Linked DNA regions of Rhinolophus ferrumequinum. The main gene of each other region encodes a partner of the protein of the gene in region 2 in a complex. Links are inferred from orthologs where the notes say so. Each region holds a gene or a part of one and is shown on either strand. Other genes may lie near its edges.

Region 1 (7,885 bases), on a different chromosome or scaffold from region 2:
TATATTGAAGCATTATTCACTCTACCCAAAAGGTAGAAACAACCTAAATATCCATCAGCAGATAAGTGGATAAGGAAAATGTGGTATACGCACACAATGAATTATGATTCAGCATTAAAACATAATGATGTACTGACACAGGCTATAATATGGATGAACCTTGAAAACATTATGTTAAAGGAACTAAACCAAACATAAACGGACAATTATCATACGGTTGCAAGTAAATGAAATAACTAGAATAGGCAAATTTATAGAGACAGAAAGTGGACTGGAGGTTAGCAGAGGCTGGGCTGGGTTACCAGAGGGAGGAATGCAGAGTTATTGTTTACTGGGTACAGAGTTACCATTTGGGGTGATGAAAAAATTTCAGAAATAGATAGTGGTGATGGTTGCACACATTGTGGATGTAACTAATGCCACTGAATTGTACACTTAAACGTGGTTAAAATATATATTTGAAAGTTGCTAAAAGAGTAGATCTTGAAAGTTCTCGAGTTCTTACCACAAGGAAAAAAGATTGTAACTATGTGAGGCGATGGATGTTAGTTAAACTGATCGTGGTGATCACTTTGGTATATATATAAATTCTTATGCGAGCAAAATAAATGAATCTAACAGATTTGTTTTAAACCAAAATGCAAAACTCTCATTCTTTTAGGTTAAGCGTTCCTAGGTGGCAATATATATATATCAAACCATTATGTTGTGCACCTAAAATTAAGACAAATTTATATTTCAATTATATCACGATAAAACTGGATAAATGGCTAAAATGGCAAATATTATGTTATATATATTTTTACCATGATAAAAAAAATCTCACTGGACCCAAGTGTTTTATGCACAAGTTCACAGAACAGAGTTTGTGTGTGTGTGTGTGAGAGAGAGAGAGAAAGAAACAGACAGACATACAGACAGAGACAGAGACAGAAAGAGGTACACAGAGAGAGATTAGTCTGCTTTTTCTGAGATTAGAAATATCCTAAAAAAAAAACAATACAAAAAACGAAAAATAATATCATCTCAGTTATGAACATTAAGGCAAAAAAATCTAAACATTAGTAACTAAAATCCACCAATTAATTTTTTAAACGTTTTGACCAAACTTAGTGTACCCCAGAGACACAAGAAAAATTTGACGTTAAAAAGCCTGTTAATGCAATTCACCCCATTAAAAAATGAAAGAAGGATAATCATATTTGATTATCTGAAAAGACGCAGAAGAAGAGCTTGTGATGTGTGATTCAAGACAAGTTCTTGATTGGAAGCTCTTCAGCCAGCTAGGAACACGTAACTTAAAAGAATGAGAATTTTGTGTTTTGATTTAAAACAAATCTGCTAGACTCATTTATTTTGCTCACATAAGAATTTTTGCAAGAAATGATGTTTTCGAATTATGCCCTTTAATAATTTTGGAACATTGTGAGATGTATAATTCTTATGAACTGGTTTAGTTTAGTTAAATACGAACAGATAAGGAATGTCATAATCAGAAAGTTAATTAGCACAAGACTGGTGAATAAATCCTCTTATGGCAACTAACCACTTCAAGTAGATAATCTCTTACAATTAACATCTGCTATAGTCTGAACTGTGTCCCCCAAAACACAACCTCACATGTTGCTGCCCTAACTCTCAATATGACTGTATTTGGAAGTAAGAATTTTAGGAGATAAAGTTAGATGATTAAATGAGGTCATAAGGGTGGAGCCTTAATCCAAGTGAGGATGTCCAAAAGGATTGGTGGACTTATGAGAAGAGGAAGAGTTATCTCTGTCTCCATCTGAATACCCTGTGAGGACACAGTTAGATGGCAGCCATCTACAAGCCAGGAAGAGAGCTTTCACCAAAAACTGAATCAGCTGGCAACTTAATCTTGGATTTCCCAGCCTACAGAATTGTGAGAAAATCCATCTTTATTGCTTAAGCCCCACCCCCAGTCTATGGTATTCTATCAAAGCAGTCTGAGCTAAGACAATATTCACCTTTTTTTTTTCATTCATAAACCGTATAGCATTTGCATCTGCCAGGATTTGATTAACATTAAATTAATAAACCTAACAACCCTCTGTGGTCATTAATATTATTAACCCCATTTTACAGATGAGGAAACTGAAACATAGAAAAGGAAGTTGACGAAGATCTCTCTATGTTAAGATTCAGCATTCACCTTCTTTCTCTCTTCTACCTTCCTGGGACTCCACCAGATATGGCGGACCCCTTAAATTTCTCCTCCTTGACTTTCATCCATTCTTTCCCATTTTCCGTCTCTCTAGGCCCCATTTTAATTTTTTAATATCTTTTTTTTATGTCACTAATTCTTTTTCCAGCTCTCTTAACAGAAGTTTAACCCATCCTTTGCTTAAAAAAAAAAAATCATAATTTTATTATTCGTTTCTAAAAGCTCTAGCTTGTTCCTTTGCACATTTGCCTGATCTTTTTCATAGTATATCTCTCATATCTTCAAAGCCTCCTTTTAAGTTCTTTTATGGTCATTGTTTTTTTTTATATTCTCCATTTGATCATTGTGTTATCAGAAGTTCTTGGATATGCCCTTTGGTTGTCTACGGACTCTTGATTGTTCCCTCCTGTGTTGTCTAATTTTGGATTGTGAGCTCATCTTCAGCAAAGTATATTTGCAGCCATCTGGAATTGACTAGTTGAAGATATTTCGTATCTGCTCCTGCCCAGAATCCCACAGGAATACAGTAAACGGAGATCGCTTTTTAAAATGTGTCTCTTGGGGGAGCGTTCCTAAATGATATAGGTAGCATCAATAAGACAATTAAACAGCATAGTGCAAGCCAACGATTATAAATTCTGTGGAGAATATTTTTCCCACCACATGCAGAAAAGAAACCGAGAGATAACTTTCTGTCTCCTTGTGCCAGCTTTCAATCTAAAATAAAAATATAAGAGTTTTTCTTATATTACTTCTTTGATAAATTCTACCTTTTCATTTTCTTGGTTCTTTCTTTCCATAACTACATATGTGGAATTTCTTAACCTGAGATCTTCTCATTTTCTCTGCAATGCTTTTCTGTAAAGGTGATATGATAGATTTGTTTTGTTTTGTTTTGTTTTGTTTTTCCATTGGAGGATCCAGAAGTGTCAGTATCTGGCATCTGTTCTTTGTGACCATTCAGTTTCTCCAGAAAATAATTTTTCCATGTTTTCCAGTTTGTTACTGGGGGAGCCAAAGATATACTTTTGTTTGCCTCAGTTTTGTGAGAAGGAGAGTGCCCTACCCACCTCCCCATTTCATATTCAGTTTTCAACCCTGAAACACACCCACTGTCTGCTGTACCTGGGACTTGAGACCAGAGTGTCTATGGTTCAACTTCCATAGAAAACTCCAGTCTCCTCTGAGTGGCAGAAGAAGAGGGGGTGGGGGAATGGGCGTGTTTCCTCAGGCTGCCAGGAGTAAGGAAGGAGCTTGAGGACATAGCCCCTCTGTATACAGACTTCCAAATCTTGCGTTTCAGCCCCATAACTCTCCCCACTTTCCTTGGTATATAACTGTGCTAGTTTCCTGAGGCTGCTACAACAAAGCAGCCCACTGGGTGGCTTAAGACAACAGAAATATATTGTCTCACAGTTCTGGAGATGAGAGGTAAGAAACCAAGGCATTGGCGGGATTGGTTCCTTCTCAGGGCTGTGAGGAAGAATGGGTCCCATGTGTCTCCTCGCTTCTGGTGCCTCAGGCGTTCCCTGATTTATAGATGCTATTCTCTCTGTGTCTTCATATCCCCTTCCCTCTATGCACGTCTGTCTCTGTGCCTAGATTCTCCCCTTTTTATAAGAATGTAGTCACATTGGATAAGGGCCCATGCTAATGACCTCATTTTAAACTGAGTCATTTCCAAATAAGGTCACATTTTGAAGACCTGGGGGTAAGGACTCCAACATATCTTTTTTAGTGTCCCACTAAAAAAGATATAGTGGGACACTCTTCAGCGCATCACAACACTGAGCCAAAGCCTGAGCTTCTCTGGAGTTCTGCAGACTGGATCAGTTCATTTCCTCATTCTTACGCCTACTTACCCCATCCCACACATACACAGATACACACACAGACACACATGTATGTACATGGACACACAGAGGAACACACACTCAGAGATGTGCAAACATACACAGAAACAGAGACACACAGATACATACATACATACAGAGAAACACACAGAGACATGCATAGACACAGATACCCAGAGACAAACCAACCGAGACACGCGTAGAGATACACTCAAACACACCCAGTTACACACAGAGAGACACATGGACATGGACATGCGCACTAGTAAACAGACACACACACGCATACTTGGAGTGTGGCTTTCTTTGGTCGACTCCTTCCGTGCTCTTCCATCTGCTTTGCCTCTTCTCCTATCCCTTGGCTTTTTGAGCCATCACATTTATATCTTCGCTCAATCATTTCAGTGGGAGTCAGAGAAAAAGCAGAGGTTAACCTTGTACATTCAGTCTCCCACATTTAAGCGGAAAACACTGCAGAGCAGTATTTGCTGGGGCCTGGAAGCACCTCTAGGGAGCCTTCACTACAAAGATATCCTCACTCCAAAACAATGACCCATCATGATTCTAAAGCACCCGCCTCTGAGCACGGCCTGTCTTTTACCAGAAATGCCAGTGACCCCACACATGAGGGAGGGAACGGCTCTTAAAGTTTGACTTAACTTCTGCCCAGCTCCTGCCCCAGGTGGATTCTCTTTTTCCTTGTCCTGTAGGCTGCTTTCTGCTCTCACCCCCCACGCACCTTTGTGTTCCTCTACTAGGAATAACCTGTCACTTTAAGAGAAATAAAGCCACCAAGCCACCTCCCTTAGGAACACGTTGCTAAGTGCGTGTTTTTGCTGGAGACATGGCTGCAGCTTCCCAGGGAGCCGCCCGGGGACGCCCCAACATTCATCCCTTCGTTTGGACGCTTAGAAGATTCAACAGGAAGACCCAGCTCCACTTCCCTTTCATCCCGGAAAGCAGAATCGGCAAAGTGCCTTCATTAAAGGTCTTTCAGGTAAATCCGTTCTTCCCGGGAGCAGGGCTGCAGCACTGGGGTCCCGCTTTCGGTTCCCTGCCTTGGAGTTCAGCCTCTGCCCTCGGAGCCCAGAGCAGATTTCACTGACTTGTAAAGTTAGGGTCTCTCATCATTATTATTCATGCTTTACTTTCTGGAATTAAAACGTAGAGCACTACTCGGCTGCTTTGATTTGCGCTTCTGCCCGGGTTCTTGTGTATAGAAACGTTCAACGCAGCTCCTCACAAGCCTGGTGAATCCCTCCCAGCCGGTCACCCTGCCTCCTTCCTTGGGCTTCCATCCCCTCCATCCTGTTGCTTTCCAGACTCCCAGGAACATTTGCTGCGTTTGCATTTCCGGGCCTTTTAGCTCACATTGGTTCGAAGGGCTAAGTACTAGCTATTGCAAGCTTCACTTTTCTTGGCATTAGACAGAAAAGGGCCATGACAGACGGGGCTGAGGCTCCCTGCTCTCTCCAAAAAAAACCACAAGAAAATCTGCTGGCTGCGATTTAAACTGATTGTTTCCCTTCATTGCAAAGAGGTGCTATGAAAAGCAAATGAAGTCTAATGGGAAATACATGGATGTTATTAAATTTTCATGTAACTTCTGCAAATAAACTCAGCACCAGAATGAAGTCTCTCTCTGTCTCTCCTGGAGCTTGTTTAAAGAGACATTCATTCACACATTTCTTGAGCATCAGCAACACACCAGGCAGTGAGCGGGAGTTTAAAGGGTACAAAGATGCATTAGACCAGGTTAGAAGCTCAGGGTTTACCGGGAAGACAGACTTACAAACAGATAATAACAGTGCAATGAGCTAAGTGCCATAAGAGATTTATAAAAGGGTCTAACGCTCTTAGCACCCAGCGAGACCACCCCCAGGGAGCGCCTGAGACACTCAGTTCATCGTGTGTGTGCATCGGGCATACACCACCCAGCTCAGCTCAGATAGTTGTAGGTACTCTTTGAAGGCAATACACATTATATGAAGCTGATTAAATGATTCTATAAAGCCATTTGTCACTAACCTTCTACTACTGGAAGCTATGGTCAGAATAACTTATAGAAGCAGGTAATGGATTCAAAAAGGTGTGTGTGGCACCTGCCCATGGTTCTCACAGGATGGGACAGAAACAGTTAAGCACTGTACACAGGGAGAAAATACTCATGCTTCTGAGGGCAGGGGAAGGCTTCAAATCACCATGAATGGAAACGGAAAGGAAACTGCCCTGGGCCCAGCTGGGGAAGGAAGGGGAGATATTGCTTATTGGACCCATGGGATGAAGAGAGGAACCAAAGATGGGAATGGGGGACTTGAACATCACAGAAGGTCTTTCTTGTGACTCCCCTTCTGTCCGCTAAGCTCTTTTTCCTTCCCCACTCTTGTCTTCTACTTTCCCTCCCTACCACCTCCTTCTCCTGATAACACTAACCAGAATGGAGAGCGTGGTAAGTGTTCGGCATTTTACTACACACATTCTATTATTTAACCCTTATAAAATTATTACCCATCGAGGTAGGAATTAATGGCCCCACGTTCACAGACATAGAAACGTATCTCAGAGAGGTAAAGGCATTGCTCCAAGATCACACAACTGATAAATAGTGCTGGAATTGAACCCAGGTCCACAGAATTTTTTACAGAGCCCTCACTCTTTCTATAAACCCATGTTTTCACTGTCCTGGAGTAGGATGCACATACTATATTATTTTTTAAGCAGCCAAGGCTGAGATTCAAACAATGCCACCTTTTTCATCTACCTTCATTCCTTTCTTTCTTACATTCTGTAGAATTTGTCACAGGGTCCTTTTATGACTCTGATCCTCTGGTGACCCTCAGGGATAGTCTTTGCCTTGATGAAGGTGTCAGTACTTTCCTTCAAAAATGTCTTTGGTGTTCTGCACTGAGTTAAACAAATCACTGGCCTGAAGTAGCCAAAGCTCTTTCTCACTGAGGCAATGCTCCACAGTTTTCAATGGAAAATAGTTCCAGAATAGTGGGCTAGCATAGAACAGTTACTGATATCATTGAAAAAGCAAGAATATATGGCGAGACAGAGAGAGAGAGTAGTAAGGGGGTGGACTCTGGAATCACAGACGTGGGGTCAAGTTCTAAATATGGCATTTTATGACTATAATCTTGGGCAAATTAGGTAAACTGTCAGAGGTTAGACTCAGAGGAAACCTTGGTTTCCTTACATGTAAATTGAGGCAAGAGCTACTGAGCTAGAAGGGTTCTTGTGAAGCCTAGGGACAACTTGGATAGAGAGAGAGCACAAAAGAAACCTGCAGTAAATTATGGCTCTTATTTTGATGTTGCCAATAGAAATATATTAACAAGTGCTCAGTGCATATGACGACAAGTGGTATATTAAAGTTGGGGAGTATTGATTTATCTTTTCTTAGCAAGAGTGTTCATAAAAAAATAAATTTTGTTGTCATTAGAAACTCATTCAAAGGTAATGATCAGGAAAGAATGAGGAGAAAAAAATCAACCCCATTACATTTTTCATTTTCTACTTCTACTTCTTTCTTTCATACATCACACTTTTTAATTTATTAAGAATCTTTTTTTAGTTACTAAATGACTTCACAGTTCTTTTTCTCCAGTTCTTAATTGCCAGAGTTGTTTCTTAGAGAGCTTTTGTGTCCTTCAGCATTATCTGCCCCCTTGTTTTTTCTAGAGTACCTCTTCACATTTTTATTTTCTTAGCTGCTTTTATCATTTCCCTTCCGCTCTTTCTGTAGCCTGTGTGGAGGTGTAGATGGGAAACAGTTGAATTTCCAGTGCTCTGCTCCCCGTTAACGTGCTAATTCCCGATTAAAGTCAGTGAAACCCTGAACACC
Region 2 (7,822 bases):
TTTCTTTTCAGGCTAACCTATTTGTATCACATTCCTCCCCACATTTTCAGGAATCTCAAAATGTATTTAGTTCCTTAACAATACTTTCATATTTTGGATCCTGGCTTTCTCAAAAGCTACTTCTACTATACCCTCTGTCACTATTCCTCAAATTCCAATGTGCCTTGCTCCACCTCAGTTACTAGTAATCCTTTGTATATCTCTCTAAACTGTAAGCTTCATGAGGTTATTGAATGTTTTTATTTTGTTCACAATTAGATGATCAATTCTTAATAGAATTTAAGGTACATAATAGACATGACAAATATATATTTTACATTTATTACATTACTGAACAAATAATTATGAATACAGTGTCATTCTTGTAATTTTTACAGCCAACAATTATCAAAATTATCAAACTAATAATTCAAAATAATAAAATTAACAACAAATTACACCATAGGGAATATGAAAAGACATACCTCCAGTTCATTTTCCAATTTCATCACTTTAGTTTTTAATTGATTTTCTATTTCAAAAAAAAGAAATGTTTCAATTGGTCAGATTTATATCAAAACAAGCTTTTAAAATTTTTTCAATAAAATTATTTTTAAAGAGTCCATTGTGACTGTAAAAAGGTAATATAAGAGAAAAATAACAAATTTACACCAGACCCGTGAAATAGGAGTTCTAGAAACAGCTTTCAAAATAAATTGAGTATATACATTTTACAGACTTACATCAAAGTTAATTTCTCTATTGCTTAGTGAATAAATGGAATCCACTATCTAATATCATAATAAACTTTTTCCAAGGCATTTACCAAATTTTGCTTGTTCTTCTCCAGCTTTTTCAACTTCTTCCAAAGCTAGCTCTACTTCTTGAGCTTTCATCTAAACAGTAAAAAAAAAAAAAAAGTGACTTCAATATGCCTTTATACTAGAATGCAAGCACTGAAAATAAGGATTTTATTTGCAATCCCAATACTTAGTGTCTCCAATGTCTATCACATGGAGATCTTCGGCAAATATTTGTTAAATGAATACATGATTTTCTTTCTTAAGATTATAATTTCTAGATTCTTAACAGTTTGAAACATCTTTGATTCCTCTTTATCCTCAAGTCTTATATCCAGTATTGCAACTTTTCCCTTTGTTTTCCATTATCTTTTTTTCTATTCTTTTCTACTATACCTTCTTTTTCTATTCTAATTGTCATTATGCTAGTCCATAATTTGAAGTCTAACCTCCTTCATCATGTTATGTCTAAACAGCTTCAATTCCCTTCAATGTGTCCCATTAACATACTTAGTTTAGCCTTCCCAAGGCATATTTTGGTATCTATCATTGTGGCTCAAAAACCTTTAATGGCTGACAGCATAAAATATCACTTCAAGTCCTTGACAAAGCTGTCAAATTATATATACCCAACATTTGTTTCCTCTATGACCAGCTATAAACTTTCTGCACTTGTCTCCTCAATATAAAGAATACACACATTTTCCATTACCAGTTTTTATTTATGGTAACCTCCAGCTCTAGAATCTCCTTAACATTATACCCCTGCCTTCCACTTACCTAAAACTACTCATCACTCTTTGACCTTTATGAGGTCTTCTCACATATAAATCTCTTCCTTTTCTAACAAATCCCTATAGTAGTTATCTGCATTTTTCATTTCTACCTCATCATTGTTAACAAAATTAACACAGGACCTTCCTACGTTATTTTTAAACATACACATTCTGTTTCCCCCACACATTCTTTTAGGAAATTTAGAGCAGAAACTACCAATGTTTTTGCACACTAAAATTATCAATCACATTTGAAGATCTACTTTTTGTGCTGATTTAGACATTACAAAGTACTTTCACAGAGATTAACACTTAAGAACAGATTCTTGAATTTCTCTAATAGTCAAACCTGTTATTAAAATCTACTGCATACAAACCTTCATCAGTGACTGAGTAATTCTGAAAAGGTGTATCACATTTTCTTGACTTTCACTTTTTAGCTCATTTACTTCCACCTAAGTAAACAGAGAAGAAACTATTTTATATTACATAACACTTAAGCAAAATATAAGAATTCTTCCAGTTATACCATCCAGTGATTTCAGGAACAACTTAATCATAGTTGATGTATCTACGTATTATTTATCAATTAAGCACCTTGGATAAAGAAACCAATAAATTATCTGCCAATTCTTCTTGACGAGGCAGGTCATCTGGGTCAACTTTTATTATTTCTTTCCAGTTTATATTAGGTGGCATCTTGAATTCTTTAACAACGCTTTACCTTCTGTAACAAAACAGATGGGTATTAGCATTTTGAAGGGAAACAGCGTTTCTGTTTTTACAGTAATTTAGTGTTTATAGATTACATTATTGTAACCTCGGTGTTAGCAAATAACTATGGCTCCTTAATAGTATAACCGATAAGTGGGCAAAACAGCCTTGATCAAAATATAGCAGTCGGCACAAACCATCAGATATTGCATCGGCTAAATAAAGTATGACAGCTCCCTTGCTAAAACTAATCTAGGTCAGAACTAAGATTCTGAGTCCCCTTCTCCATGATCCTTACCACCAAGGCGCGCGAACACCTAATTGGGCGGAGTGCTTGGAAGGCTGAAATTGACCCTTGATTCGGAAAAGCAGCAACTGTGGGTTTAAAAAAAAGTGCATACATAAACGACTGAAATGAGTGCAGTCGCGCAGGAGAAACCAGGGCTGAAGCGAGACGGCAGATGCATTGCGGACCAAAGACTAAGGGGCGGGGAAGATGGGCTATTTGGTGTGGGCCCTGAGGCTTAAAGAACCTGAGTGGGAAGAGATTCGCTGCTTCGCCTCACCAGGATCCACCCACCAAGCCTGGCAACCAGCGGCGGCTCCTTATTTACCGCATCCACCAGACCTGACCCGGCTGCCACGCCTGACCGCTCCCCAGCGCGGTTCCAACCCCACGCTGGATCCAGCTAACTGATCCCGAGCAGCAAGAGCGGCGGCGGCTGCTAGGCGACACCATTCCCCACCCAGTCAAGGCCAAAACAAGGCCCCGGATGCATGCGGAGCCTACATTTCACGACTATGGGTGATGCTTTACGTTTAGATTCCCCAGAGGAGTTCCGGGACTCTGTATTAAGGAGGAGGAGAAGGGCGTGGGCTTAGGACTCCAAGTCCCAGAGTGCAGTGCTTTTGGAGGCTTGTGCATCCTGGGAATTGAAGTCTCTGAGAAGTGGAGGCGGGCCTTTCCCGGCATGCAAAGCGGGAGGCTGCGACTGTACCGGGCCGCGGGGTAAAGATCGGGAGGCGGGAGGCGCAGTGACTGAGGCGCATCTGCACTGTTGACCATGACTGTGCCTTCGGTGGCGTCGCTCGTTGGCCCGTTTTTTCTGAGGTTTCCCTAAGCCATCCCTCGGTGGAACTGCTCCCAGGTGAAGTCAGAGTGTGGGTCAGCGGCGGGGGAGGTGTTGATGGGAGCGGTCCTGGCTTACAGCAGCTCCGAGCATTGGGGAGGAAGGGCCCTGTCGGAGTCTGAAGAGGTGGGACGACCCCGCCTTCTCCTTAGGCGTTTGCAAGGGACGCCCCGGGTGGTGCCCTCTGTAAGAAGAAGGGCGGGAGGGGGGAAGTTTTAGCCTTTTTTGGTGTCAGAATCTGGCTCTGTATAGTGGAGTGGGGGCCGTGCAATCGAGGTCCTGATTTGGGGGCGAGTGAAGGATTGAGAAGACACGACACCGCATCCTACGACCTCGCCCCCCTTACCTGTAGCACTTTTACCTTCGCGGTTTGAAGGACTTGGAAGGCTGAGGAGTTAGTGTAGATTGAAGGCTCTAGAAAAGAGAGGTTAGAACTTGTCTAGGCCACTGCTAGGGGTGGAGAGAGAAGGAGCCTCGGTACTCAGCATTCCTATTGCTGTCACTTACTTGGTTCCCGAGGCTCCCCTTCTAGGAAGGTGCCTTCTCAGGTGTGTACAACTCGTATTTGTGCAAGTTTTGCTCATCCGGCTGCTCTCAGCCATTCTGGAGTATAATACACCACTAGGTAATTTTGTTAAGGAGCCATAGATTTGAAATCTAAATGGCATTTTTCAACTGTTTGGACCAGCGCCTCATCTTTTTTTTTTTTTTTTTTTAAGCACTTTGGTTTTTCTTACTATAGTTGATACTAAAATTTCCTTTTGAAAATAAATAATAGATTTCTTTCCAAACCATGGGTGGTTCATAGCTTAGTAGAAAATAAAAACAAATACGGATTTTTGAGGTACATTTAAAGACAGTCATCAGATTTCTGAGAATGATCATTTCTGTCTAATCGTTTACTGTAAGATAGTATGTCACATACTATTCATTATCTTTTTTAAAAAAACCATGTTCTACATTACATCTTGCAGAACTTATTTATAACTGGAAATTTGTAACTTTTGACCAGTCTGCTTTTTGTTTCTGTGAATCCTGTTTTTTTGGGTTCCTCATCTAAGTGAGATAGTTAATATTTTTCTTTGTCTAACTTACTTCACTTAGCATAATACTCCTGAGGCCCATTCATGCAAATGGCAAGATTTCCTTCTTTTTATAGATGATTAATATGCCGTTGTGTTCATATGCCACGTTTTGTTGATCCATTCAGCCCTCGGTGGACACTTAGGTTCTTACCATGGGTTGGCTGTTGTAAATAATCTGTAGTGAATATGGGGGTGCAGGTATCTCTTTGAGATAGTGATTTCATTTCCTTCAGACACATACCCAAAAGTAGAATTGCAGGATAATATGGCACTTCATACATTTTCAGGGCACTTCCATACTAGTTTCCATAGTGGCTGCACCGATTTACATTCCCACCAACAGTAAACAGGGTTTTCTTTTCTCTACATGCTTGCCAACACTCGTCTCTTGTGTTTTTGATAGCAACCGTTCTAACTGGAGTGAGGTGATATTTCATTGTGGTTTTGATTTGCATTTCCCTGGTGACTAGTGGTGAGCCCCTTTTCATTAACCTTTTCATTAAGACAGTTTGCGTCTTCTTTGAAAGATATTCCTCTGCCTATTTCTTAATTGGATTATTTGGGGTTTTTTCCTTTTCTGTTGAGTTGTATGAGTCTTTTACATAGTTTGTTTATTAGCCCCTTATCAGATACATATTTGTAAATATTTTCTACTATTCGATAGGTTGGTTGTTTTTGTTTTTTTCATTTTGTTTATGGTTCCCATTGCTGTGCAGAAGCTTTTTAGTTTAACGTAGTCCAACTTGTTTATTCTTGCTTTTGGTGCCTTTGCTTTTGGGGTCCAATCCAAAAAACCATTGCCCAAACCAGTCTTAAATAGCTTATCCCCTGTTTTATTACAGGAGTTTTATGATCTCAGGACTTATGTTCAAGTCTTTCGTTCATTTTGAGTTGATTTTTGTGAGTGGGGTAAGATAGCAGTCTAGTTTCATTCTGCATGTGGCTGTCCAGTTTTCCCGACATCATTTGTTAAAGAGACTCTCCTTTCCCCATTGTATATTCTTGGTCCCTCTGTTTATTTCTGAGCTCTCTATTCCGTTTCATTGGTCTATGTGTGTGTTTTTTATACCAGTACTGTTACTGGGAGTGACGTTTTTCCTCGGTTCTTGTCTTAAAGGAAAGAATTCAGTCAAGAGGCCGAATTGGTGCAGCGTAGGACAGCAAGCAGTTTATTAGTAAAAGCAAGTACACTCCCAGACATGGAGCCCGCTGACCCAAGAGAAGGAAGCAGCCTCCTTACATTGTGTGAGGGTTTTTCTTTCTATAGGTAGAATTGTCTCCTCCTCCCCTTGTCCAGTGTCTTTCTCTCTTTCTGCGGGTGTGTCCATCCTCTCTTCCTGTTGTTTCCTGGGGCGCAAGTGTGAACCCATTAATTTCCCATGATGTATTTGAGAAGCTCGTTAAAAAGGGGCAAACTATAATTGTATGGTCCAAAGAAGCAGGATGTACATTCTGATAACCGGGTTGTTTTCCCTCCTTCTCCAGCATTTCTTTTTGCTTCTAAGGACATATCTTTTTGATAAGTAGGAGCAGCTGCAAGGGGCCTTATAACCAGGGCTAGTTCCCTCCTTCTCCTGCTCATTTCTACCTTTCTACCTACTCTACCAATACCATGCTGTTCTATTTGCTATAGCTTTGTCATTATCTCATTCAATCTTCATAGCAATCCAATGAAATAGGTCCTTATATGAGGTGTGACAATTAAGTTCGCAAACTTGTCACAACCTGTTGGTAACCTTTTTTGATATCAGAGGAATTACTCATTATGAATTTGTACCAACTGGACAAACAGTTAACCACCTTTACTATTTGGAAGTGCTGAAAAGGCTGCGTGAAAGAGTTAGACCTGAACTTTTCGCCAACAGTTCATGGCTCTTGCATCACAACAATGGCACTGTCTGTGAGAGAGTTTTTAGCCAGTAAACAAATAACGGTATTGGAACACCCTCCCTACTCACCTGATCGGTCCCCCAATGACTTCTTTCTTTACCTGAAGAGAAAGGAAATATTGAAAGAAAGACATTTTGATGACATTCAGGACATCAAGGGTAATACGTACAATGACAGCTCTGATGGCCATTCCAGGAAAAGAGTTCCAAAATTGCTTTGAAGGGTGGACTAGGTGCTGGCATCGGTGCACAGCTTCCCAAGGGGAGTACTTCGAAGGTGACCACAGTGATATTCAGCAATGAGGTCTATAGCACTTTTTCTAGGATGAGTTCGCGAACTTAATTGTCTGACCCCATATTGTCATCATTTTCCAACTAAGTTAAGAAACAGAGGCTTGGAGAGGTTAAGTACTCTGTTCAAACTTAAATAGTGTGATTGAACACAGATCTTTGTGGCTGGAGGACGTTTGTAAGTGCTATGCTGCCTCCTCATGCATGCTGGGAAACAATACTGTCAAGTAAGTGCTTGTACATCGATCTTGCTATTTATATGAAACATTATCATATTCTAATTATGCAACTTTGTTTACTCAAGAAGTTGAATTAAATATTTTTCATGTTCAGTGTTTTTAATTCATAATTTAGCAGGGGAAGATAGGAATGAAATCTAGTGTTTGTTGAGCACATACTATGTCATATACTATGCTTCAACTGTATATTTTCATAGTAGAAATCTGTTATTTCTACTACAGCACCTTATTTTTCTTAATTTATTGTAATTATTATTTTCTATTTATTCATCTGCTAGTTTTGTTTTGTTTGTAGTGGTCTTTTCTACCCTCTACTCCCCTCACCCTCTTATTCCCATTTATATTCCCAACAACTCAAGGTACCTGATCTAATGAGTGGGTAAGACAGGAGTCTAGTTTCATTCTTCTGTATGTGGCTGTCCAGTTTTCCCAACATAATTTATTAAAGAGACTGTCCTTTCTCATTTTTCAAGTGTGAAAAACAGGTTCAAAGAAGCTAAGTAATTTCCTAATAATTAATGAAGCTAAGATTGCAACCCAGATCTCAATTATAGTCCTGACAAAATGCAAAATGTTGCTTAAATGTCATTATTTTACTTATTCTAAAAATATTTTTGAGCTTGTACACACTGCTAAATCCTGGGGATACAGCAGAAATGAGTTAGCTATGGTCTAGGTCCTAATGCATTATAGTATGTTTGTACTTAACTGAATTAAAAAATTTAACTGAAGATCTAATTCAGTCAACTCTGTATAATTTTGAGGAAAATCACCTAAATTCACCATTATTTTTCATCAGATTTTCTGTATCAGTCAGTTTTCACCAAGAGAAGGGATTTATGTGACATTTTATAAATGGCCTTATTATAGGAATGCTTGCCTGGACCTGCCTTCTTTCTTTTGATTTTATGAGCAGTTT

Evidence for each region. The genes of interacting proteins can lie anywhere in the genome.
Region 1: CEP290 (region 2) and CC2D2A share a complex: the UniProt entries of both Homo sapiens proteins name them as parts of the tectonic-like complex. The link is inferred for Rhinolophus ferrumequinum from reciprocal best matches to the Homo sapiens genes CEP290 and CC2D2A.

What each region holds. Positions count from the first base shown.
Region 1 is NC_046288.1:78,839,132-78,847,016, reverse strand, and holds the start of CC2D2A (coiled-coil and C2 domain-containing protein 2A), read left to right. Parts: upstream 1-4,868; 5' UTR 4,869-5,035; intron 5,036-7,885. UniProt on the Homo sapiens protein: Component of the tectonic-like complex, a complex localized at the transition zone of primary cilia and acting as a barrier that prevents diffusion of transmembrane proteins between the cilia and plasma membranes.
Region 2 is NC_046293.1:80,227,607-80,235,428, forward strand, and holds the start of CEP290 (centrosomal protein of 290 kDa), read right to left. Parts: upstream 3,019-7,822; 5' UTR 2,803-3,018; exon of another isoform or gene 2,645-2,802; 5' UTR 2,568-2,644; intron 2,283-2,567; 5' UTR 2,255-2,282; coding exon 2,153-2,254; intron 2,011-2,152; coding exon 1,933-2,010; intron 876-1,932; coding exon 806-875; intron 512-805; coding exon 465-511; intron 1-464. UniProt on the Homo sapiens protein: Involved in early and late steps in cilia formation. Its association with CCP110 is required for inhibition of primary cilia formation by CCP110.